3 linked regions of the Medicago truncatula genome follow. Each later gene encodes a partner of the first gene's protein in a complex. Links are inferred from orthologs where the notes say so. Each region holds a gene or a part of one and is shown in the gene's direction. Other genes may lie near its edges.

What was found.
Region 2: SNW/SKI-interacting protein (region 1) and serine/arginine-rich SC35-like splicing factor SCL30 share a complex: the UniProt entries of both Arabidopsis thaliana proteins name them as parts of the spliceosome. The link is inferred for Medicago truncatula from reciprocal best matches to the Arabidopsis thaliana genes SKIP and SCL30.
Region 3: SNW/SKI-interacting protein (region 1) and serine/arginine-rich splicing factor SR34A share a complex: the UniProt entries of both Arabidopsis thaliana proteins name them as parts of the spliceosome. The link is inferred for Medicago truncatula from reciprocal best matches to the Arabidopsis thaliana genes SKIP and SR34a.

What each region holds. Positions count from the first base shown.
Region 1 is NC_053043.1:11,531,129-11,539,445, reverse strand, and holds SNW/SKI-interacting protein, read left to right. Parts: upstream 1-5,201; 5' UTR 5,202-5,363; intron 5,364-5,480; 5' UTR 5,481-5,484; coding exon 5,485-7,326; 3' UTR 7,327-7,642; downstream 7,643-8,317. UniProt on the Arabidopsis thaliana protein: Splicing factor involved in post-transcriptional regulation of circadian clock and flowering time genes. Associates with the pre-mRNA of PRR7, PRR9, ELF3 and GI, and is necessary for the regulation of their alternative splicing and mRNA maturation.
Region 2 is NC_053046.1:35,351,563-35,360,345, forward strand, and holds the start of serine/arginine-rich SC35-like splicing factor SCL30, read left to right. Parts: upstream 1-5,360; 5' UTR 5,361-5,503; intron 5,504-5,625; 5' UTR 5,626-5,639; coding exon 5,640-5,893; intron 5,894-7,204; coding exon 7,205-7,372; intron 7,373-7,517; coding exon 7,518-7,561; intron 7,562-8,783. Other genes in the region: probable dual-specificity RNA methyltransferase RlmN, read left to right, coding at 186-283, 871-972, 1,108-1,194, 1,375-1,491, 2,476-2,579, 2,818-2,957, 3,062-3,198, 3,307-3,495. UniProt on the Arabidopsis thaliana protein: Involved in intron recognition and spliceosome assembly. Probably active at the 5' splice sites.
Region 3 is NC_053044.1:45,763,376-45,771,426, reverse strand, and holds the start of serine/arginine-rich splicing factor SR34A, read left to right. Parts: upstream 1-4,628; 5' UTR 4,629-4,784; intron 4,785-5,515; exon of another isoform or gene 5,516-5,781; intron 5,782-5,919; 5' UTR 5,920-5,944; coding exon 5,945-6,031; intron 6,032-6,658; coding exon 6,659-6,724; intron 6,725-6,816; coding exon 6,817-6,891; intron 6,892-6,965; coding exon 6,966-7,110; intron 7,111-7,592; coding exon 7,593-7,639; intron 7,640-7,723; coding exon 7,724-7,781; intron 7,782-8,051. Other genes in the region: protein EMBRYO SAC DEVELOPMENT ARREST 30, read left to right, coding at 28-581, 1,317-1,491. UniProt on the Arabidopsis thaliana protein: Probably involved in intron recognition and spliceosome assembly.

The sequences.
Region 1 (8,317 bases):
ATAAAAATAAAATTGTCAAGTAGTCTAGTGACTAAATTTTTTTTTAAATGAATGAGTGGGATATCTGGGATTTGAATCCCAACCCCTGCATATAACAATGCATTATCTCCACCAATTGAGCTAAGCTTACGGGGGACTGTAATTAGATAGTTCTATTAATCACAATAACAAAGTTTTTTTTCACTAGGGTCGCTAGATGTATATATTAGACCAAAAGAAACGTACCTCAAATACTTGAAGAGAAATGTGCAAGTGTAATTAGTAGGAAGAGTATCAACTATTAAACTATAGAAGTGTCAGGCTTTTTTTCTGAAGGATGTAGAAGTGTTGAGCTTGAAACACATATTTATATACCAAAATATACAAGTGTCTTTGCATATGCTCTAAGACATACGTTTACCAAAATATATACTAATACTTATTTTAGTATGTGTTTGAAATTTCAATGCTTTTAATAAAATGCAAAGGCATGAATCACTCATTCATTTTTGGTTAATTGCAGATATTCTTAACAACAACATTCTCTTTTAACTTCCCTAAAAAAAAAAACATTCTCTTTTAACTATTTCAAAAAATAAAATAAAATAAAATAAACTAAAAACATTCTCTATGAACTACCACTCGTGCATGGATCATGGCCTTCTTCAATTTCTTAACGACCATCTTGAAATCCAAATCCAACCTATCAATAATTTAAAATATTATTCAATTTCATGGCGTTCTTCAATTTCTTGAGTCTTCCTTCACAATATGATTTATGGAAACTATTTGGTACACATCTAATCTAATAGACTAATACACCTTTATTCTCATAAGCTTATCTCAATTGGTAGGAATAATGCATAATATATGCAAGGTTTAGGATTCAAATTCAGACACTACACTATCAAAAAAAGACTGATACACCTCTTACACATTTCTAGCAGGATATAGAGGATCAAGATGTTATGATAGATATGATATGATATAACTGTAATGTGATAAGCAAACAAAAATAAAGAGAAAAAGGATGTTGAAAATAGATGTACAAATATTTATTCACTTTCCGTAAAAAAATAAGTATATGATTAATTCTTTTTTTCATTTGTGAATACATGATTTATTCACTTGTTATATTGTTTACATTTTTCCAAAGGTTTAAACACATTTTTGACCCTCTAACTTTGCACTAATTGTAATTTTGGCCCCCTATTAAAAAAAAACACATTATAGCCCCCTAAGTTTCTCCCCTATTGCAACTTTCAATTTTGGTCATTTAAGATCAACTATTCAAGACAGTAGAAGATCAAGAAACCGGTCCCAAGCCACATTATTTGCCCTATAAATCTGAAATTTGCTCAACAAAACACCCACTTGTTTTTACAGTATTGAATGGTTGATTTTAAATGACAAAAATTGAAGGTTGCAACAGGAAAGAAACTTACGGGGCTGGAATGTGGTTTTTTTAATAGAGGATCAAAATCGCAACTAGTGCAAATTTATGGGGCCAAAAATACGTTTAAGCCTTTTCCAAAATGTTACTTGTAGTTGAAAAAAATAAAACATAAACTGTAAATTTGTTTTGCATGTATGAAATATGCCTTGACAACTTCAGATTCTAGGCCCCTAAAAAATACTTCAGTTTCTAACTAACTCTTTATTGATTTGATTTAGTTGATAAAAAATTGGTCCATATCCTATAATTGTGTTGGTTCCATTGTGATGTCAATGTGATAACCTTTTTAATGGACGTCTTATAAGTATTTATATAAAAAATTCTTTAAGCATTGAAGCGTGTTTTTTTTTTGTTACAATTGAAGCATGTTACAATCCAACTTACTTAAACTTTTTTTTTTTTTTTGGTCTTAGATGAAGTGGTAATCCATTGAAAATAAACACACACACAACTGTGAGGTCCCGGGTTCGAACCCGGGTCATGACGTCCGACCTTGCAATTTCGGCATTTGCCAGTTGAGCTAGGACTTCTAGACACTTAAACTTTTTTATAAAAAAAAAAACATATATATTCTATTTATATATAAATTAAGCTAACTTCATATCAAATTCAATTTGGGGGAAGAGAAATGGTCATCCTTGTCATCCATGCCTCGAAAGCCTTTTTTTTTTCTATGAGATTTTCTAATTTAATATTTTTTTTAACAACAAATATTAGTATTGTTAGTATTATATGTGTTGAAATTTTGGAAGTCTTACGACGTTGAATGAGTAATCATATTAGACTTTTGAGCAACCAAGGGAAACACTATTTTTACTTAAAATATTAGATGTGAGTGTTTTCCATTATACTCACTCCCTCCCTCTATTTAAGAATCCATTCGATTTTATTTTTATCCTTAAATATAAATCTCTTTTTAAATTATTAGATGTATTTATTTTTTTTTTTCCTAAACATACTCTTAATTAATACTACTAACTTGTCTTGAAATTTGAAAAATCAAATTTAATACATATACAAACAAAGGACAATTTAGTAATATTAACACACAAAACAGACACATTATTTACACCGACAACTTTTCATAAGAAATGTGAAAAAAGCAAAATGAGTTTATATTAAGGGACGGAGCGAGTATGTTGTTCAACTTCTCATATCTATCAATGTTAGCTTGTAATTCAGTTTTTTTTATTTTTTGTTACAGCTTGTAATTCAGGTTTGACAAAGCATAATTTTTTTTTAGAGGACCTAAAATCATAAACATACTTTATCATTTTCTTGCACTTAATTTCATGTGTAGAGTAAAAAAAAAGACTTTAATTTTAAACTAAATTTTCGGATTATTTGAAATCTTAGAAAAACTCAAGTTCCGAGTTAGAGACCAAGAGTTATTTAAGAATAATGAAAATATAAGTGAGATGAGTTTTATGCTCCGTAAAACTTTTCACACGTGCTTTTAATCAAATTATGTCAAATAGATGAATATAAAGAGTATTCTTGAACATAACTCAATTAATAACGGTATGGGTTGATGTTTGAATAAGAGATTTTTACTTATTCCTTTTAAAAAATGAATTCTAGTCTTTAAGCTATTTGAAAAAAAAAATAAAGATATTTAAAAACTAATCTTAAAAAGTGGCATCATGAAGTGATTTTGATTAAATCGATTTGTATATAACAAAATTAAATTGTTAATGTATGCAAATTAAATTAAAGATCATTCAACCAAGCTTAAATAGTCAATAAACTCCACCTAAAATGAATTGTTTGAAAAAATTAAAGTTCATTTTTAGATGAAATAGTTTTTTATCTGATTTTATTTACTTCTTAAGAAAACACTCTATATTAATAAAGTTTTTCCCTATATACCAAATGGTAAAAAAAAAAAAAAAGAAGAAGATAATTTTAAAATTTACATACCAACTTTGGCAGTTAAAAATGTGTTTTAATCTATGAAATTCGGATACGTGATACGAGTGTGGGTATGATACGATACGAATAAGTAAATACGCAAAAATTTAAAATTGAAGATACGATACGACTAAAATACATTAACAATTTTTTTATACAAAAACTTATATGAATGTAAAACATTCGAAGAAAAAAACATTCATTACTCTTAAAAGTCACAATTTTTAAAAATAATACATGTGATCAAAATAAAAAATAAAAAATAAAATTTTCATATAAATAATATTATATTTTCATTCATATATTATGATATCAACATAAGCATCATTAAAATAACGCAACACAAATTTTGTCTAATGTTGATTAATTAAATCTTCTCTCTCATTACCTTCATCCACAAAAATAAAATAAAAATTTAAGTGGTTCATCCAAAAATAATTATACTATTTTAGATCTAAAGTTGAATCATATACACTTCCATTGAATTTTCATAATATAGGTATTTGATTGAATTTTCATAATATACGTAGTTGTGAAGTATTTTATAAGCATCTTTATGTATTTGTGAAGTATCATCTAAGTATTTGCTAAAATATTTTTAAAAAATTAAAATAATTAATTCCAACACTCCATGGGCATATCTGTGGAGTATCCATATTTGAATCCGATATGGATGCGTCTCATGGAGTATTCGGGCTTCATATGATTTAATTTATGACTATTATTTTTCTCACCCTATCTACTTCTCACGCGCCATATAATTTTTATAAAATACCCATGAGATTTCAGATTATAAAATCTGAACACAGTTTGGATCTGTTCGGATCATACAATCCGAAATATGTTTATATATAATCAGCAATTAGAATCTCTTCCATTTTAGCAGTTTTGAATTTTGCTTTTAAAAAACATGTCAAATAAAATCATAAAAATACCACAAAAAAATTCTAAAAATCAAAATTAAATTAATGAAATTTTTTTTTTTCGAATTTTTATGAGATAAGAAAAATTGGTCTAAACGATGGAATTTTAAATTTTGAGGGACGGAGTCTCGTAAGAAGTCCCTTCTATGGGAATTTTGATCCTTGATTTTTTTTCTTTTAATTTTCTGGGGAAGTATCGCAGCAATCTGATCAAGTATTGCAAAAACCAGATTTTTGATAAGAACGACTAAAAATGATCTAAAATAAAAGGATGGGGAAGATTAATATGATCCTTAAACTTGTTATCCATTTTACAAAAATACTCATAGCCTATTTGGATGTGCGGTAAAAGTGTCTTTCTCTCGTCCCAGGGTAACTTGGCCGTGGTTTTAACAAGTTACAAATTGTAACTTCTTGGCAAATGTGGTACTCCACCGCTAAAACAAACACTGCATCAGAAGTTATGCTGGTAGAGTTAATATTATATAATCCGAACTATTTTTCTATTGAAAAAGGATGTTTAGGGGTGTCCTGATTCTATAATCCGAAAAAGCAAGGAACGCGCTCTTTTTGTTAAGTTTTCGGATTTAAAGAATCTAAATTGGTGAAAAAGTCATTTTTTTTTCACTCCATAACAGATAAAAAACTCAATTCAAATTATAAAATCCGAAATCACATAGACATTTTCCTACAAAAATAGGACGCACGAGAAATAGTTTGAGTGAGAAAGTAATAGTTTTAATTTTTTATATATAACATAAGATTAGTCATTAGTGTAAAGAGTTTATTTTTTTGAGAGAAGTGTAAAGAGTTTATATGTGGTTCATGAGCTGGTTTTATTATTGAACCGGTATAACTAAGAACCCGGGTTAATCGTTATCTTGTGTATAATTTTTTACTAGACCGACATTGGTTTATCTATATAAAAATCAGAAATTAAAAATTAACAAAAATCTCAGAACCCGAACGAAACACACTGAAGATTGAAAAGTCTCAAAGGAAAATCAAAATCGCAAATAAACCCTAAATCGCGTCACCGTCATCTTCAACCACGCGCCACTGATCCTCACTGCACCGTCCTCCGCCGTTCACAAGTAATATTTCTTCAACCAATTTGTTTCTATTAATTCTTATTTTAATCGACGTTAATTATCGATTCCATAAATTAGGGTTTCGTTTTTTTGATTTTTTGAAATTGATTTTTGTTGCAGAACCATGGCGGCTCTGAAGGAACTCCTTCCAGAACCAAAATCATCCACAACAACATACTATGATCATAGCAACGATCCATGGTTTAAGCAAAGATTCACTGCAACGGAAGAGGAGAAATCCGCTGCAATCGCACCCAAAATTGTACCACCGTATCTGAAACGATCTGGTTTTGTTCCACGAAAGGTTGAGGATTTTGGAGAAGGTGGAGCTTTCCCGGAGATCCATGTGGCACAGTATCCGCTTGATATGGGAAGGAATAAGAATTCGAAGCCGGGTTCGAAGATTCTTCCGGTTACGGTTGATGCTCATGGTAATGTTGCTTATGATGCTATTGTGAAGCAGAATGAGAATGCTAAGAAGATTGTTTATACCCAGCATAAGGATTTGATACCGAAGATTTTGAAGAATGATGGAGATGATGAAATGGAGGATGGTGAGGACGAGGATGCTCAGCGTGAGATTGATGAGACTATGGAGGAAACAAAGGCGGCGCTTGAGAAGATTGTGAACGTGAGGCTTAGTGCTGCGCAGCCGAAGAATGTTCCGAAGCATAATTCGGATTCTAAGTATATAAAGTATAAGCCTTCGCAGCAGAATGCGGCTTTTAATTCTGGTGCGAGGGAGAGGGTTATTAGGATGGTTGAGATGCCTGTGGATCCACTTGAGCCTCCAAAATTTAAGCATAAGAGGGTTCCTAAGGCTTCGGGTTCACCTCCTGTGCCTGTGATGCATTCACCTCCGAGGCCTGTTACTGTGAAAGATCAGCAGGATTGGAAGATACCACCTTGTATTTCGAATTGGAAGAATCCTAAGGGTTATACTATTCCTCTTGATAAGCGGTTGGCTGCTGATGGGAGAGGGCTTCAAGAGGTTCAGATTAATGATAATTTTGCTAAGCTTTCTGAGGCTTTGTATGTCGCAGAGCAGAAGGCTAGAGAAGCTGTAGCTATGAGGTCTAAGGTGCAGAAGGAGATGCTTTTGAAGGAGAAAGAAAGGAAGGAACAGGAGTTGAGGGCTTTGGCTCAGAAAGCACGCTCAGAGAGAATTGGTGTGGCTCCTCCGGCTGCTGCTGTTCCCGTTGTTTCGGAAAAGAGTGGTGTGGATGATGGTGATATGAGAGTTGATTATGACCACAGGGGGGATAGAGGGGATAGAGACAGGGAAAGGGAAAGGGAAAAGAACTATCCCAAGGAGAGTCGGGAAGAAAAAGAGGAGCGGCTGGGACGTGAGAAGATTCGTATGGAAAGGAGAAAGGAGAGGGAGAAGGAGAGAAGGATAGAAGCTAAGGATGCTGCCATGGGAAAGAAGAGCAAGATTACTAGAGATAGGGATCGTGATATAAGTGAGAAAGTTGCTCTTGGTATGGCTTCCACCAAGCAAGGGACAGAGGTCATGTATGATGAGAGGCTATTCAACCAGGATAAAGGAATGTCTTCTGGATTTGCCACTGATGATCAGTATAATGTGTATGATAAAGGCTTGTTCAATGCACAGCCAACACTTTCCACCCTGTACAGGCCGAAGAAGGATGTTGATAATGAAGCTTATGGAGGTGCAGACGAGCAGCTGGAGAAGATTATGAAGACTGATCGCTTTAAGCCTGACAAATCATTTACAGGGACTTCTGAAAGGGCACCTCCTAGGGATAGGCCGGTTGAGTTTGAGAGCGAAGAAGCTGATCCATTTGGTCTTGATCAGTTCTTGACAGAGGTCAAGAAGGGTAAGAAGGCCATGGAAAATGTAGGTGGGGGAGGAACTATGAGAGCTAGTGCCGGATCTTCAATGCGAGATAGTTCTGATGGAGGTTCTGGCAGGACTCGCATTGGATTTGAAAGAGGGCGTTAAGTGGATCAGTGTTGAAGGCTAATTGTTATCATGCTTAGGTTGGCATGTCTTTAAGTGGATTGTAAGGATAACGTGGTTGAGTTATTTATCTTACTTTTTCTTGCCCCAAGCCTATGGACCACCTTATAAGTGGTGAAATGTACTTGTATTTTGTTTTGAAACCTTTTTATGTTATTTATCTTTCCATGGAGTTATATTCAGTGAAATGCAATGTTCAAATTTTAAAGTAGATCTCCACTATTTGAATGAAATGTATTTGGCTGTTACAATGTACTCCATGATATATCTAGTTTTTTCATGCCTGATTACCGGATAATACATTTGCTTTCTGCCATTGCTGTTTGGTTTATGCCATTAATGGACTGTTATGGCTGGTAATGAGGATATTGACTACAGCTGTTGAGACTAGAGTGGAACTGTTGGCTTTCTGTTTTCATGTTATACTAATCGATGGTTCTCTACTAGAATGAAATGTAATCGATAGCTTTAAATTTATTTAACGAGTTATCAATTTTTTCAATACTTTATAATCCATTTGATTGCTTGTTATTGCTGTTTGAGTTATGCTATTGAAGGAGAAATTGTCAATTGAGGTGTAAAACAGTGTTTAATCATTACCTGACCCAAGGATTCAAGTGGATGTGTATTTTTTTTTTTTTTTGAACTAAGTGGTTGTGTTTTTTGATTTGATAGAACTGTGTATTAGTAACCCCTCCATAGGACAACATTTGATGCCCACAAAAAAGGATGGGGAACAATATTATTTTTAGTAGTTCTTGACAACTATGTTGAACTAACTTCTCTAGATTTGTGCACATGAAGGCTCAACCCCATCTGCTGTATATCGTGGTTTTACTACTTTATAGTCTTGGGAAAATTATATCAGACCATCATGATTGTAATGTGTGGAGTGTAGCCTGCACTAGAATTGAAAATTACATTAGATCATCTTTGCATACCATTTTCATCCAAGCTTCCTGTCAGATGGTAC
Region 2 (8,783 bases), on another chromosome or scaffold:
ATCACTTTCATTTGAGTCAGTGTTATTCACACGACATGGACCCATGTGGCTATATTCAATCACTTCTACTTTTATAAAATTATCACTGGTGTCGGTTTTGTTCGTGTTAGTGTAGTGTCTGGTGTTTGACAATGAAAGTACTAACTTTTTGATGTGGTGGTGTTGTTGTTTTGCTTGCATTGCAGTGCCTCAGGCATTTAGGAATGAGCTTGAGGAAGCTGGATGGAAGGTGGGACGGTCTCCAATTTTCAACACTGTTGTTGCAACGGATGGAACTGTGAAGGTAAAAGATATAATCACAGCTCAGCAAACCTATTGTTGTTGTTTTTAATTTATGGTTCCTGCTAACCATTTTTATGGGGTATAAAGGGCAACCCGGTGCACTAGAGCTACCGCATATGCAGGGTCCGGGAAGGGGTCCCACCATTTGGTGTATTGTACGCAGCCTTACCCTGATTTATGGGGTATCACAACATTCAATACATTCTTTATTTCAAAAGCTATACTTTCAATAAGAAAAACTTTATATTTTTTTAAACTTGTGTGGCACTGGTTCTAGCATTAACGTTGTTGTATTGTTGTGCTCTGTAGCTTTTAGTTTTTTTAAATGATTTAAATTTCTGTTTTAGTGACCACTTTATATCTTGAGATGTTTACCTCTAAACACAAATGTAATTTGATTCCATTGACATTGTTCTCATTTTTCCGGCAATGATTCAAGTTGTTTTCTTTTGGTGTTTTACTTGGTATTCTTAAGAAGAAGGGTAGGATATTAACTTGCTTGTTAAAGGATGGGATTGTTGATGTTTCCTTGATTTTTTTTTATGCACTGATTCTTGTTTTTCTATTTGTTGGAATTTGATTTTGCAGTTGTTATTAAAGTTGGAAGACAACAGATTGATTGAAACTGTTGGTATTCCTGTTGAAGATGAGAAGGGTTCAGTTCGCCTGACAGCATGTGTCTCATCACAGGTGTTTGACTTACTTTTGAATCATCGATGAATGAGTTGTTGTTTTCTTTCTTTGCAGTAATGTTTGTGTTATTGATCAAGAAACTGATATTTTCCATTTGTTTTTGTTATGTCCTTCTGTTATTTGGATATTTAGGTAGGTTGCCCTCTGAAATGCTCTTTTTGTGCCACTGGAAAAGGCGGCTTTTCTAGGAATCTTCGGAGCCATGAAATTGTTGAGCAGGTTTCTGTCCATACATACATTAGAGTAGTTTGATGTTAGATTTCCCACGTGATCTGTAAATTTAGATTTAATTAAAAGAAATAAAAATGTTAACAGAAAAGAAAGGAAAAAGATCAAATAAAGCAATGAGATCATTTTCGGGTTCGCAATTGTTTTTAAGCGAGCTCTTTATTTAAACAGGTCTTGGCCATTGAGGAGGTGTTCAAACGCAGGGTGACTAATGTAGTCTTTATGGGAATGGGTGAACCAATGTTAAACCTGAAGGCAGTACTTGAGGCACACCGTTGCTTGAATAAGGTGAATGAATGCCTATCATATGTGACATTATTTCCTTATCAAATGCTTGCTTGTAATTGTAACAGTTCTCTATATGATATTTTTAGAGTTTAAACCTGCATCTGCCATCTTTGCTCTTAACTAGGTTAACATTATCATTTAAACTCTGGGACTCATTGGTTGTTACTTATTGGGGAAAAAAACCAAATCTGCATAGAATAGAAATAGAGCCTGAAATGAGTTTATAATGAGTGGTACTCCTCACCTTATAGATCGGTTTTGTAAGGATGAGCTAAGCCCAATATAAAAATCTAATATTACTCTACTGAATTTGATTCCATCTTAGTAAGTGTTAGGTTCTCTTGCTACTGAATTGGTTGTTTTACGTAATATTATCTTTTCGTGAGGAGGAGGGGACATGGATTTTTTTATGGATCTTCTTTTTTTCTTTCCAGAAGTTTTATAGAAATTAAAACAGGCCAGAACATAAGAGAGCAAATTAGTTATGTTTTATGTTTGGTACATGTTAAAACTTAAAAGTAGAGCAGAACAGTATACACTTGCAACGTAAAAAGTGATATGTTTTAGTTCCATTGGAAAGGATAAACGAGATAGAACAGAATAGACAGTCTCACATGCATAAAAATATTTATGCATACATATACTCATCCGTCAAAAGAAATCATGTATCAGCATCAGTGTTGTCAAGTAGCGGGTATAACAATATAGCGTAGCAGAATTTGAACTAATCGCTTTTGCTCCGTGATACGCTATTTAGTGCAAAATGTTGTTAAATAGCAACTATATTTGTGCTATAGCACTGTTGCATAGCAGAATTTGAACAAACAGCTATCTTCTGCGATTGGTGATTGACACTACTGATCAGAATAACATTTTGCTTGGTCTTATTTCACCTTTTATATTTCATTTTATTATGATGATAGAGAGCATATAGTAATAGCATGTAAGTGTGCTAATGTTGGATTTTGGTTGGGCTTCTTGTAGGATATACAAATTGGGCAAAGAATGATGACTATCTCCACCGTGGGGGTTCCAAATACAATAAAGAAGTTAGCTACTCATAAACTTCAATCCACTTTAGCTGTGAGGTAATTGTCCTTGATTCTGATCTTGTCAGTCAAGAAATAGAACTTCACAATGAATAGGCAATATGCCTTTATTTCATGCCTTTCTTCGTTCACTGTTCATACTCTGGTGTTTGGTCTGGTCTGATTTGTGGCTGCAAAATATATCATTCGGTGGCTTGTTTTAGTGGATTCTTTCATACTCGTTCATGTAAATAATTCTCTTTCTAACATATGATTTCCCTTTTGTATCTTACTTCAGCCTACATGCTCCTAACCAGAAACTAAGGGAGACAATTGTTCCAAGTGCAAAGTCTTACCCATTGGATGCACTTATGAAAGACTGCAAGGAATACTTCCACGAAACAAGTAGACGGGTTTCCTTTGAATATGCACTTTTAGGTACACAGAAAGTTTCCAACAAATTCTTGTTTCTCCTTTGTACAGTAAGGTTAATGAAATTCTTACGATGTATTTTCCACTTTCCTGGCATTATGTTTGAGCAGCCGGAATCAACGACTCAGTAGACAATGCAGTAGAACTCGCTAAACTACTACATGAATATGGCAGTGGTTATCATGTCAACCTTATACCTTTTAATCCAATAGAAGGCTCTGAGTTTCGCCGTCCTTACAGAAAAGCAGTATGATAATTTTCTTATTTTTCATTCATTCTGATTACGATTTATAATTTATGTCTTGATGTATTCAATAATTTTAGAGTATTTAATCCATACTTTGTAATTTGGTAGGTGCAAGCATTTGTTAATGCTTTGGAGTCATCTAAAATAACCACTAGTGTACGCCAAACCAGAGGACTGGACGCAAATGCAGCTTGTGGTCAGCTACGGAACAATTTCCAGAAAACTCCTTTGGTCACAGAATCTGACAACAATCTGGAATCCCAGCTTCCAAATATGGACCTTGCAGTTACAGGTTGATAGTGTCAGTTTCGTGGCTGCTTACGTTATCAACTTTCTACTTATATGGCATATACTAAACAAGTTCGGACTAAAACAATGAGAGGTTTGATCAACCAAAATGAGTATAATCTCAATTACCAATTATGAAGGGATAGAGGTGTTTCCTGTTACTGCCTGAGTTGTAATGTCAACTTTCTTGCTAGCAGAGAAATGTGGAGAAACATCTATGTGGTTGTTAGCTCTATTTTTGTGGTATGCAGGTTTGGAAACTTAGAAAGTCTTTAGATTCTTTGGCAGCTAAGAGAAATTTTCATAAGAAACAACCTACTGGAAATTAGTTACTACCACAAGCAAATATTGTTGGTTATAAGTGATTAGGACTTTGTAGTTCATATGGTGCACTTGGGAGATATTTTTCATGTATTGGACCCCTTTTGCATTATATATTTATTTATTTATTTATGTCGCAACTGCTGATCCAGCTTGTAAAAATCTGACTATTAAAACAGATTTTTTCCCCCTTTGTTAATTTATTGTTTTTTGTTGCTGTTAAAACATAGGCATTGTTTGGAATACAAATCCTTTAAGTGGTTCACTATGCACCATGTCATTTTTACAATGTTAAAGTTTTCTAGTTTTTGCAAATTATAAATGCAAAATCTCACGAATTCAGATCCTAAACAGCTGCTTTATGGTATAGCAGTTGTATGGGAACCGTCAAGGAAGGTGAGGCCATAGAACTTCTTCAAGCTCTTCAATGAGCTAAGGAGTTTGGATTGTTTATTGTTATCATTGAGTTAAGGGTAAATCTTGTTCCCTCTCCTTGCATTGCTCAAAATCAGCAGAAAGCCTTTCCAAGAAGTTGGCATTGTGAAGGAAAAAATAGAATTTGGATTCCGGTAGAAATTTCATAATGTAATATAATTCAGTCATTTGGTAATTACAACACCTTTTTTCTTGCTTACTTCTAACTCAAAATACTCTTAGCATAAAGTACTTGAAGAATAGAATTTGCATAAACGTACATAAAAGTTTATGTAAACATACTTGAATTGAGTTTGAGTAAACCCTAGCAACCCAGAGTATACATGACTTCAAAAAAGGAAAAACAAAGTGTATATATGGTACATGAAATAAGTTTATGTAAACACATTTGAACTATGTTTACGTAGTTGAGTTTGTGTAAGTGTTCTCTAGCTGAGTTTGAGTAAAATCTAGTAACTCATATTTGAACTAAGTTTATGAAAAGGCAAAATTATAATTTTAATCTTTTAACTTAATTTCAGGCAATAATTTGGTCTTTTATCTCTTTTTTTTCATTTCAATTTTGTCCTTTTTATCTATTTGCATATGAATTTTTAAGCTTCAAATTCATGACTTTATTTTCTTATGGCCTCTCAATCTTTAAATCTATAATCTTTCATTTATCTTTGTTTATGAATATTTTATTTAAAGATTATAGATTAAAATTATAATTTTGACTTTATAAAAATGTACTTGAACTGAGTTTAGACAAATGTGCTTGAATTGATTTTAAGTAAAATAAAATCTAATAACTTAGAATGTTCATGAATTAAGTTATGTAAATGTACTTGTAACAAAAAAAAAGTACTTCATATAAGTTTGTGTAAATCTATTTGAAATGAGTTTGACTAAGATCTAGAATCACACTTTTCTCATGAACTAATTTATTCTCTAAGAAAAATAAAATTTAAAATAATCCATGATATTTTCATATTAATTTACAGAAAAAATTGTGAATGACCAAACTCAAAAATTTCAATAAGAGGTGTGTAAATTAAAAAAATTCCCTCAAAAAAAGAAAGATAATTAAAAATATATATATAATATTTACTTATGAATGAAACGGTGCGTTTGGAGTGGTCACGTGAAATCTAATCTAGGGTTTAAAATAGGTTTCTCAGATGAAAAAACAAACACATTCTCAACGCTTTCTTTTTCTTTTCTATTCTTTCCCGTGCATACGAATTTTTTGGTACTTTTCTCTCTAATCACTCAAATCAAGGTAACAATTTTCTAAATTCATAATCTTTTTCATCATTCCAATCTTTAATTCGTTTCAAACAACACTAAACACATTCGAATTCACGCTAATTTGCATTAATTCTTTGTTAATTTTGAAATTAGGGTTAGGTTAAGAGATGCGGAGGAACAGTCCAGGTTACTACAGTCCTCCACGGAGAGGATACGGCGGTAGGGGTGGCGGTGGAGGTGGTGGTGGTAGGAGGGGATATGGTGGTGGTGGTGGAGGTGGTGGTAGACGTAGAGAAAGCAACAATGGAAGTCTTTTGGTGAGGAACATTCCTTTGGATTGTAGACCTGAGGAGCTGAGAGCGCCGTTCGAGCGATTTGGACCGGTTCGCGATGTTTACATACCGAAGGATTATTACTCTGGGTGAGCTAACATTTGTGATCAACTCTGCGTAATTATTCATATTTATTGTTTGTGTTTTGTTGTTGTGTGTTGTTTGTTATGTTTGTGTTTTTCAGATTTGAGTTAGATTTGACAGGTTGATTGTTGGGTTGGGGTGGTCTGTTCTGTGTCATGTCTTGGTGTTGGGCCCCCTGTTTTCTTAAATTTACGATTTTGGTTCCCTATTTTATTTTTCATGACTTGGGTTCTTGCGAATTATTTTTTGGGATTTTGGTTTCTGTAATTGTTTTATTGTACTTTTGGGCGCTGTTTGGATTAACAGCTGATTTGCAGCTTAAAGCACAAATGCTTATGTATAAGATATTTCTATAGCAGAATGTAAAATAAATTGAAATTCTTTTCGTAAAATTTATAAGCTATTTTCATTAGATATCTTGGAGAACTTATGAAAATAAGCTGAAAACAGTTTATGAACAGTGTCACAAGCTAAAGCAACTTATTCCAATAGATAAGTTCATATAAACCAATCCAAACAGGCACTTGGTCTCTTAGTATTACGGTTTTTCCAAACTTTTGGTCCCCAAAAATCGTTATGTTGGAGACCAGAAGTACTTAAAATACTCAAAATTGAGGGACCAAAGTCTGAAAGTGCAAGGACTAAAACTGTAAAAGATAATATGCGGGGAGACCAAAATTGTGAATTTGAAAATAGATGGGACCAAAATGTAATTTTTTTTTGGTTTATAAGTTTAAACTTTTGCATTATGAATTAATTTTGACTGGTTTGTCAGGGGGTATGTTGGTTTGAAATTGAAGTTAAAACAAGCCCAAGCCCCACATTTGAAGAGAACTACTCACTCTTTAACTTGTTGGTTTCCAAGTGTGTTAATGTCATACCAAGATAGAGAATCTATATAATTACGCAACTCAATGAATACAAGTTTCATGCAAGTTGGTTGGTTGTCCTATTGAAGACTTTGTGAGGAGGTTTTTTTTATTTTGTGGTTGTGGGAAGCTTTGAATTCAAGTGATTATAAATACAACAAGAATGTTGAAGAATTTTTCAAGTCACTTTACTACTTGAATGTAAAGATAAGGCCCAGTCACAACTAAGCTTTGGATTTTAGCGGCTTTAGTAATTCAGCGTCCACTGCTGTGTGCATGTCTCAAGAGAGCCATTAATAGGTTGTCTAAAGAAAGCTATACTATGTAATGTGATTTGAGGTGGTTACTGTGGTATGCGAAGTCTGCCTAATCAGCATTTTCTGCAGTCTTTCTCTGCCAATATTTTTGTAGCAGTGTTAGAATGAAGCTCTGTTTTTTCCCGTACAGACAACCTCGAGGCTTTGCATTCGTGCAGTTTGTGGATGCATATGAGGCCTCTGAGGCGCAGTACCATATGGACAGACAAATTTTTGCTGGAAGGGAAATATCTGTTGTTGTGGCTGCAGAGACAAGAAAAAGGCCAGAGGAGATGCGTCATAGGACTAGTAGGTCCAGGTATGTCTTTTGATTTCTCTGCTTTGTCTGCCCTCATGTAGAAGATTACAAATCTGTAGTATATCTTACTTTGTCACATTTAAAGACCGCCCACCAAAAAAAAAAGTCCATTTATATGTATTTGCATGATTTTTGTATTTTACAGAGGACCAGGAGGGAGCTATGGAGGGCAAAGGTCTTCCTACCACGGTAATATTACTTTTACAAATTGTATTAACTTCTTGAAACCTATACTGAGCACACCTAATGCTGTTTATGGCTGAAGCATGTTTTAGATGCTAGATATGAAATTTGTTCCACCTGCACTTGTGATGCATATTGTTCTTCCACCACATTAGAATTTGTCCTTTTTGCTTGAATTTGACAATAGAATGATAGTGTGTGACATGGGTGCTTTATCTGAATTAATTTGACAATAGAATTGTGGCTTATTTAAGCCTATTTTGTATTTATGCTGATGTGAAGAAACAATGATGTATTTTTTTTCTCTCTATAATGTCATATCCATGTATTTCGTGAGTAGGAAATAGTATTCAGACTGTGTCCTTGACCTTTGTTGTCATAGTATTGATGCTCCAGAGATTTATTGTCAGGATTCCCGCTCCTATACTAAACTTTTCTATGTGTCTAAAAGTTATTTAACTAATTGATTTTAGCTAGCCTACTGAAAACCATACTAGATATAACAGGATTGGAAGACTGATTTTTGTTGGAGCGGTAGATCTCATCAATGATTGTTGTGATGGGGATACATATACTGCTAATTTTTCAAGGCGTTCATTGGGGACTGCCAATTTTTAAGCTACTTTACTAAGAGTATGCATAGGTGCCATGCTTGAAGATATGCTTTTTCATATTTCTTGTTAAAGTCATTGGGCTAGTTTTAGGCATAGAGGAAGGGAAGGTGGGGGTACTCAGAACTATGATAGAAGTAGGAATGGTATGTTGAATGTTAACTACAGAAGTCAAAACACGAGTCTTTATTTATATTAATCTATTACTGTATTACTCTACTAGACTCTTAATCCTAATGAAATATGTAAAAAATAACAAATCATGAAAGTAAGAGAATATGGAAAACTAATTTTAAGATAAAAGATAAGATGCTTTGGACATATTTTACAACACTAGATTCATCATTCATGGTGTGGTGAGGTATTTTTCAGATGCTATGACAGTTCTTTCTCCCATTCCTCAACTTTCGTTGACCACGTTTAGTCTTTTGATGTGCTAAATCAGCTGCACTTTATAGTTATACAATTTTTCATTCATCTTGGTAAATGTTTTCATATATATATATATACTCCCTCCGTCCCAAATTGTATGTCACTTTAGAAAAAATATTTGTCCCAAATTGTATGTCACTTTAGAATACCAATGAAACATTAATGTTACTTTTCCTATTATATCC
Region 3 (8,051 bases), on another chromosome or scaffold:
TTTGTTATTTTGTTTAAACTTTTACAGGTTGGCATTCTCCTTCGAGTAATGGGTTATCCTTCCAAAACAATAATTTACCTGGCTGGCTCTGAAACATTCGGAGGTCAACGTGTTTTAATTCCTTTGCGGTCCATGTTTATCAATACACTGGATCGCACTTCCTTGTGCAGTGAGAAAGAATTGTCTGACTTGGTTGGACCTGAACCACCTCTTCCTCAAAATATTTTTCGGACACCTCCTTCAAAAAGCGAGGAAGAACTTAAAGAAGAATGGAAGAGGGCCGGTCCTCGGCCTCGGCCTCTACCGCCACCTCCAAATAGACCAATTTACCAACATGAAAAGGAAGGCTGGTATGGTTGGATCACTAAGACCCCTACAGAACCTGATCCTTCACCTATGGATATGAGGATGAAAGCGCATAGATTACTTTGGGACACACTAGATTACATTGTTTCTTTGGAAGCAGATGCCTTCTTTCCTGGATATAACAATGATGGAAGTGGATGGCCATATTTTTCAAGCCTTGTCATGGGACATCGGCTGCACGAGACTGCTTCTTCTAGAACATACCGACCGGACAGGTAAGTGCTCTTTGGTGTTTGTCTCAATTTATTGATATTCATTAAGATATAAAAAGGTTTCATATAAATCATCAAATTTTCTTATTTTATTGGGGAACTAGAGTTGCCAAGTTACTGAGTTCAATGAGCGGGTGAAAGATGACATTATTTTGTGATCTCTTTCTTTTTGGGCTGGAACTATGTGGGGGAAAGGGTAAATATATAGAGCAACGAGCCACGTTATTTCCTTTTACTCCACTTCAGTAACCAACAATGCTCAGAGATGGCATGTTTTGTCTTGACTCTTGATTGAATATTTATCTAAAGAACACTATTACAACTTTCTTCGGTCCTATTCCAGACATCCATACATGTCAGTATTTAAACAAATGCTAGACAAGACAATTCTCTTGCAGCAGACCACAGACAAGCCTAGGGCCTGTCTTTGGCACTTTCTGGATAAATTTTATGCATATGTGTTGTTCTGTCAATAAATTGTGTGCATAGTATGCCTTCCTTCCTTTCCACCTATGTTTTTTCTAATGCGGTAATTTTTTATTGATTGTCTTGATGCCTTGAGAATTGCATGTATGTATGCATCTGAAGGTGATGAGTATGATGAACTTCTGTTTCCGCGCTTTGAACTTCTCAGCATTCTAATTCTTTGAAAACCATGTAGTTGATTGTGGTTTTGGTTAGTTGAAATTTCCCTTAATTCTACATTTTAGTGACCCTATTTCCTCATGTTTCTTACAGGAAAGTTGTTGCGGAACTTTTCAACATGAACCGTGAGAATTTGTACCATCCAAAACACAATTGGACAATTTTAGTGCAAGAACATCTTAACAAAAGTATGACCGAGGAAGGCCTCATAAGGCAATCTCGATTGTCAAAACCAGCAATGTTCCTTTCACATCCACTTCCAGAATGATCTTGTAGAGTAGCTTCTGCCAGCGTTGCTAACCGCGTTAGAGGTGAGGATGGCCAATTTCTATATGGAGGCGAAGACCTTTGCCCCAAATGGATGCAGCATGCTAGTCTGTCAGGTTCGATGGGGAAAGAAGGGGTAAAATCTGAAGACGATGGGCTCCCAGATTATGAGAGTAATGATTTTGTTGATGAATCTGAGTCTGAAAAAAATGGTGGTAAAACTGATCAGACTCAAGTCTGGGATCAAGATGAGGAAATGGATCCAAATGACTGATAGTGGACGTGCATATCATAACTACAGTCTATAGATATACAACATCCAATTTTTCTGAAATTTGAGAGGTATAGGTTATAAGGTGCTCCGGCAACGCACATGTCTCAATGCTATCTGTGCTGAGCATATTGGTATTCAAATATATTCTTTCATTAATTTTTTGGTTATTTCCATAGACAAAGATAACAATTTCTTTTACTTTTCACTTTCCACTTTCATCTGAATTTTTGTTGTAACATACATATTACGAACAGAAGGATAAAAAGATCAGCTGTCTGCATAATTGGAGAACAGATAAAGTTAGAAGCAGAGTTTTTGTTTAGAAATTAATCCATATATGGCTGCTATCCTTTTTTTTTTTTTTTTTTTTTTTACACCGCATGATCTCTCTCTTTTTAAAGTTCTTAGTGCGATGAATATAATTATTACTAACACGGCAATCCATGGAAACAAAGCTCTGAAACAAATAAGATCAAGAAACTTCGGGTTCCCGTAAAATCTTTGCATCCTCTCCTTCCAATCACTCTCCCATCCTCCCCCTCATTCAAGATCTGTGTCCGTCTGCCTTTCAATCTTTTTTCCTTACGTTTTCTCTACCTTGATATTCTCTCTAGAATTTAAAGACAGATAGACACATATTGTGGAGGCCCAAGAGGGAGAACATGCAAGGAAAAAATTAAGGGAGAAAGAGACAAACAAATATATCTTTGAATGAGGGATGAAAGAGTGATCGGAAGAACGAAGAAGAGAATTCAAAGTGTAAAAAAGGTCAAAAATATAAAGTTTATCTGCACTTTATATTAAATATATAATTTTATGATAAATAATTGTTGTTTACAATAATAATAAAAAATCATTTTTAGTAGTCTAAGGCCCCGTTTGGATTGGCTTATTTTGAGCTTATGTGGGCTTATCTACTCCCATAAGCCTTTTTAAAGGCGTTTGGGTAAATAAATAAAAATAGCTTATCATAGTTTCATAAGCTGCTTATGCCATATTTTAATAAGCCTAAATTTTCAGCTTACCCTCTGGCTTAACAAGGAGCTTATGAATTTATGTAACCTCTTTCGATTCTCTCTAGATCCACTTTTTCAAAACATATATTTTAATTATAATTTTTTTTGAAAGAATATTTTAATTATAATGTTAGTTATCTTTGGCGGTGCATCAGTAACAAAATTGTTATATACTTATCTTACTAAAGTAACAAACGTAACTAAGATTTTTTTTTTTAAGAAGATTTTTATTATTTTTTTTGTTACGTAACAAAATGAAACTGAATAAAAAAACAAATTTAACTTGTCTTTTTTGGGTAACAAACTGCACACTAATATCAATATATATGATATGTTTATTTACACCTCTAATGTTAATTTTATCTTATATGAATATTGATATTTTTTTTAAGAACAAATATTGATTATACTATATATATATATATATATATATATATATATATATATATATATATATATATATATATATATATATATATATATAATTATAATTAATATGTTATAATATTGTTTTTTTACACCTTGATTAATTTTATCAAAAAAAATCTTGATAACTGTGGTTCAATTCTTTGATTTTTTTGTTAAATTAAAAATATTTAAAATTTCGATAATTGCTTATGTAATGTCACATCCAAACACTTCAATTTATGTAAGTACTTTTTAGTGTACATATCCAAACATAAATAACTTATCAAGTATAAGAGCTTATGATATAAGCTCTAATGTTATAAGCACTAATGCTATAAGCATCTATATAAGATGTTTATCCAAACGGGGCCTTAATCTATGTAATATTGAAGAGACCTAAATATTAAAGTGTAATATCGAATAACCATCATTTTAATCTTGAACTATCAACTTCTCACCAATTTAGTCACTAAACTATAAAAATATAAAAAATATTCTCTAAACTATATAAAATTCATCAATTTAGTCCATTGGTTCGGTAGGTCGGATTTTTGTTTTTGCTTCGTATATTTTTTGCCAGACAGTAAAAAGGGTTTTGGTTTAGGTATGAAGCGAGTTTAGATTGTCTTTTAGAAACCTGTGTTTCTTTAGATCAACAAAATATAAGATGAAAATGATTTAAATGCACGCCACACAACACTCTTTTAGAAACCTGTGTTTTTTTTTATCTTGTATATTCGGCCATTTGGTTCATGGATAGAAGATTTGAGCATTGCATCACATATTTGGACATGTAAGATTGTATTTGGCTCGTATATTTCATTGCATAATCGTGTATATATACAAGGGTATCTTAACTATCAAGACATTGTCAAATCATAACTGTGATTTCTCAATCAATATAAAATATATTTACACCCTACATATAAATGATATTTACATATTAATCTTATAATTTATGGTTGGTCCTATCACAACCTTACAAAACTGGTTTGTGATGCGATGATTGTCCCCGCTTATAAACACCTGTTCATGTTGTCTCTTATCTAATTTAGATTCTTTAAGAATAAGTAAACTAATTGAGTCTCAAAATTGTGAGCGTCGGACAATTTGGGATCCTAAATTACAAAATAGCAAATTTCTCCCTCAAATTAAATAATCCCAATCAAAATGCTCCTTTTGTTAAGTGGTTTTGTTAGGGTGGCAAGATGTAAGTGTATATGTCCTTTTGAAATAGCAAATTTCTCCCTCAAATTAAATAATCCCAATCAAAATGCTCAAAAAAATTACGACTATTTCTCATCCTTTCCCCATTAAATAAGGTATTATATCGGAAGCACGTTTTCAGTGGTGTATTTCATCTGAAAATATACCGTCGTACAAATTTGAGCATATAAGGGGTGCGATTAGCAATCATTAACAAAGGATGGGCCGTTTTCCTTTTCTATTGAAGCCCAAACCCGTTTCGGATCCATAGATTTAAACCCTAATCTCTTGCCTCAAACTCTTCGTTTCTTCTCTCGATTTCGTAGGGATCTTGTTCCAGCTTCGGCTTCAGTTTTGCAGCGATTGGGTGCTCAAGCTGTAATCTTTCTGGTATGGCGTGCATCAAATTTCTTTTGATTTGTTGAATTTGAATTTGTTTCATGCCTCTATTGAATTTTGAATGTTCCCGTTTTAAATTAGGGTTTTGAGGTAAATTTTATCTCATTTCCATCGTTGAGCTCCAAGTTTGAATTTTTTTTAAAATTCGCAACTTGGGTTTTGCCTGCCCACCTTGTATGCTATTGGGTGCAATTTCTGAAGACTCTGCTTAGTTATCACGTTAGAATTTTGAATTTTTATTGTTCTGTATATCTTAGTTATTATTGGAAAATAATCTCCAATTTAGGTGATGTGGTTGCGTTTTAAGTTTGTGTATTTCACGGGGTGAAATCTGCAGACGAGATTGAAGAAGCTGGTAAAAGGGTAATGATTCTAGTTAAGGATTTGTGAATTGTATACATGGGTATTTCAGATTGTGAGGTGAGGGTATAGGAATGTAGTACCAGTTACTTGTCCCGGAGAATAAGCAGCTAAAACAAGTGTGTGTAAAATTAACAAGGGGTAATGTTTACAGTTGAGGCACCAGCTCAGTGGTAAGAGCTTAGCCTTGTAACCAACGGGGACGGTTGTAAAATGGCCATTAGTGCTAGTTTAATCAATAAAAAAAAGGGTAATGTTAGGGTTTGATCTGTCAAAGCGGTTAAACGAGAGATGAGTAAGGTAACTTGTTGAGTATATGATCATAATTTGATCTCATGACACAAATGCTTTCTTTATGATAGATGACAAGCGCTTGGACAAATTTGAGCTTTGCAATCAAACATAGGGAATATAGAGTGGGAGTGGGAGAATCGGGGTGGAGTTGTGGTTATTTTTTTAAATAATTGGAGATTCTTCCTCACTCTCAGAAGGATTATGCTTGCTAATTTTCTGGAAAGGATGAGGAGAGCAAATTTATTTTCAATATTGTTATAGCTTTGGAGCATCTTTGGAGCAAATGAGCAATGGAGCTTGTGGAGCACGGCTCTCTTCAAGGATTGCTCTCTTGGTTTGCTTCATAGTTTTGGTTTTATTTACTTTTGTTTGTGTAATCATTAGAATGATGATAGTTAGGCGTTTCAGGTTTAGGCGTGGCTTCAGACAGTAATTGATTTCTACTTGTTGATGAGCTTCCGTTTTTTTGTAGAACTGTACAATTTCTCCAATCAAATATGAGTAGTCGCTTTTCTCGCACAATCTATGTTGGCAACCTGCCCGCTGATATAAGAGAATCAGAAATTGAAGATCTGTTCTACAAGGTTTGAGCTGCGTACTTTTCCTGTTTTCCATGTTATGGTGCCTTCAGTTCATGTCTTCATGATATTAGTTCATGATATTTTGTGTTTTGTTCAATTTGTTTGGCTACTGAATTTTTCTATATCTTCCTATTGTCTGGAACCTACCTTTACACCATTAGGAGTTTTGAACTGAAAATTTCTTTTACTCAAACCTGCATTTCTACTTCTCTATTTATTTTTTGTTTAATTACTGGAAATCAATTACAATTATGTTAACCGATTAGTAAAATTCATTAAACATATATTCAATTCAGATGATAACAGTTAACGAGAAAAGGTTTGGGTAGTTGTTTGTTGTTTTAACTGACAAGCAGATAGTTTGCATTATTCAATTCTTATGACTTATGAAGGATAAAGAATCATATATTCTTAACTACTTACAGCCATGTATTTTTTCTGTTGACCTCCTTTTCCTTTGAATGGACTATAGTTTGCTTAGCTTTGTTAACTTGGATTTGGATTTTACCCTTAGTTATATCTGTTGCTTGATTCTTATCTTATACGTAGCTTCAAGGGTCAATGTTTGAGGTTGATTGTTATGTACTAACATAGTCATGTTACAATGGTTTTCCATTATTCCCTTAACAGTATGGCCGCATAATGGAAATTGAATTGAAGGTTCCTCCTCGCCCTCCATGTTATTGTTTTGTTGAGGTATTTATAATTACTCTCTTATATATTTCTGTCTTGGCGACACTCTTTACCCTTTTTCTCACTACTAGATTACTTGTATTTTGGCTTGGTAGTTTGACAATGCTCGAGATGCTGAAGATGCAATTCGGGGTCGTGATGGTTACAACTTTGATGGTTGTCGATTAAGAGTAAGGGACTGTTCCAACTTTTGTCTTGTGAGGTGAAAACTTTCTTCGGAATGCCTAATCTGTTCTTGTTGTAGGTGGAGCTCGCCCATGGAGGCAGAGGGCCATCATCAAGTGACCGACGTGGGTATGGTGGTGGTGGCGGCGGCGGTGGAAGAGGCGGCGGCGGTGATAGTGCTGGTGGGGGCCGTTTTGGTGTCTCTCGCCATTCTGAATTTCGAGGTGTGTCTATTTAGGGATTCCTTTTTCAATATAAAAATGATAGGGAACATATGCTGAATGGTATTTTGTTACCAAATAAAAAACGCGGAATTGCATTTTTATTTTTCATTTAGGCTGTTCACCCATTAAGCTCCGACTAATATCATGTTTATCATTCTTTAAGGAAGAATTTAAATTTTCTTTCAAAAAGGGAATTTAAATTTCCCCGATTCATGGCATTCTAAGATTTTTCATGCTGAGAACTCTTGAACCATTGTCCATGACTCTTATCTGCATGTTTATGAATTCACAATTTTCGATATTTGTTACTGTATGTGCTTGTTTGCTTTATGTGATTCATAAATTACAAGTGATTTTTGTTCTACTTTTATGCATATTATTGCCAATCGGCAATAATTATTGAAGATATTTTTGTTTTCTAACTTTTCGTGATTTTCTACACACCATAGTATCTTAGTCTTTTTTGTTTTTGTTTACTACAGTTATTGTTCGAGGACTCCCATCTTCTGCATCCTGGCAGGATTTGAAGGTATCAAAATGTTCATAAAAAATAACAAATGAGAGATACTCAAATCATCAGCATAGCACCTACAATTTTAATATTTGGTTTCAGGATCATATGCGAAAAGCTGGTGATGTTTGCTTTGCTGAAGTTTCCCGTGACAGTGAAGGTACACATTTATTTTGGTTTTTGTTTTGCAATATCTTTATCAGCTTTTTACCTTTTCTATATTTATGCTGTCGTATGGTGCATGTTTTGTATTTTCTGCTCCATCTGAGTGGCGTAAAAAAAACCAAGGCCTACTAAAAGATAAATAACTTGGTTGAAGATCACCTCTGTTTTGTATTAAATTAATTTATTAATATTTTTATGGCTTGAGGCTCCCCCTCAAATGGAAATCACAATTGATATGTAAAGAGTAACATGATCAGCCCCGCAG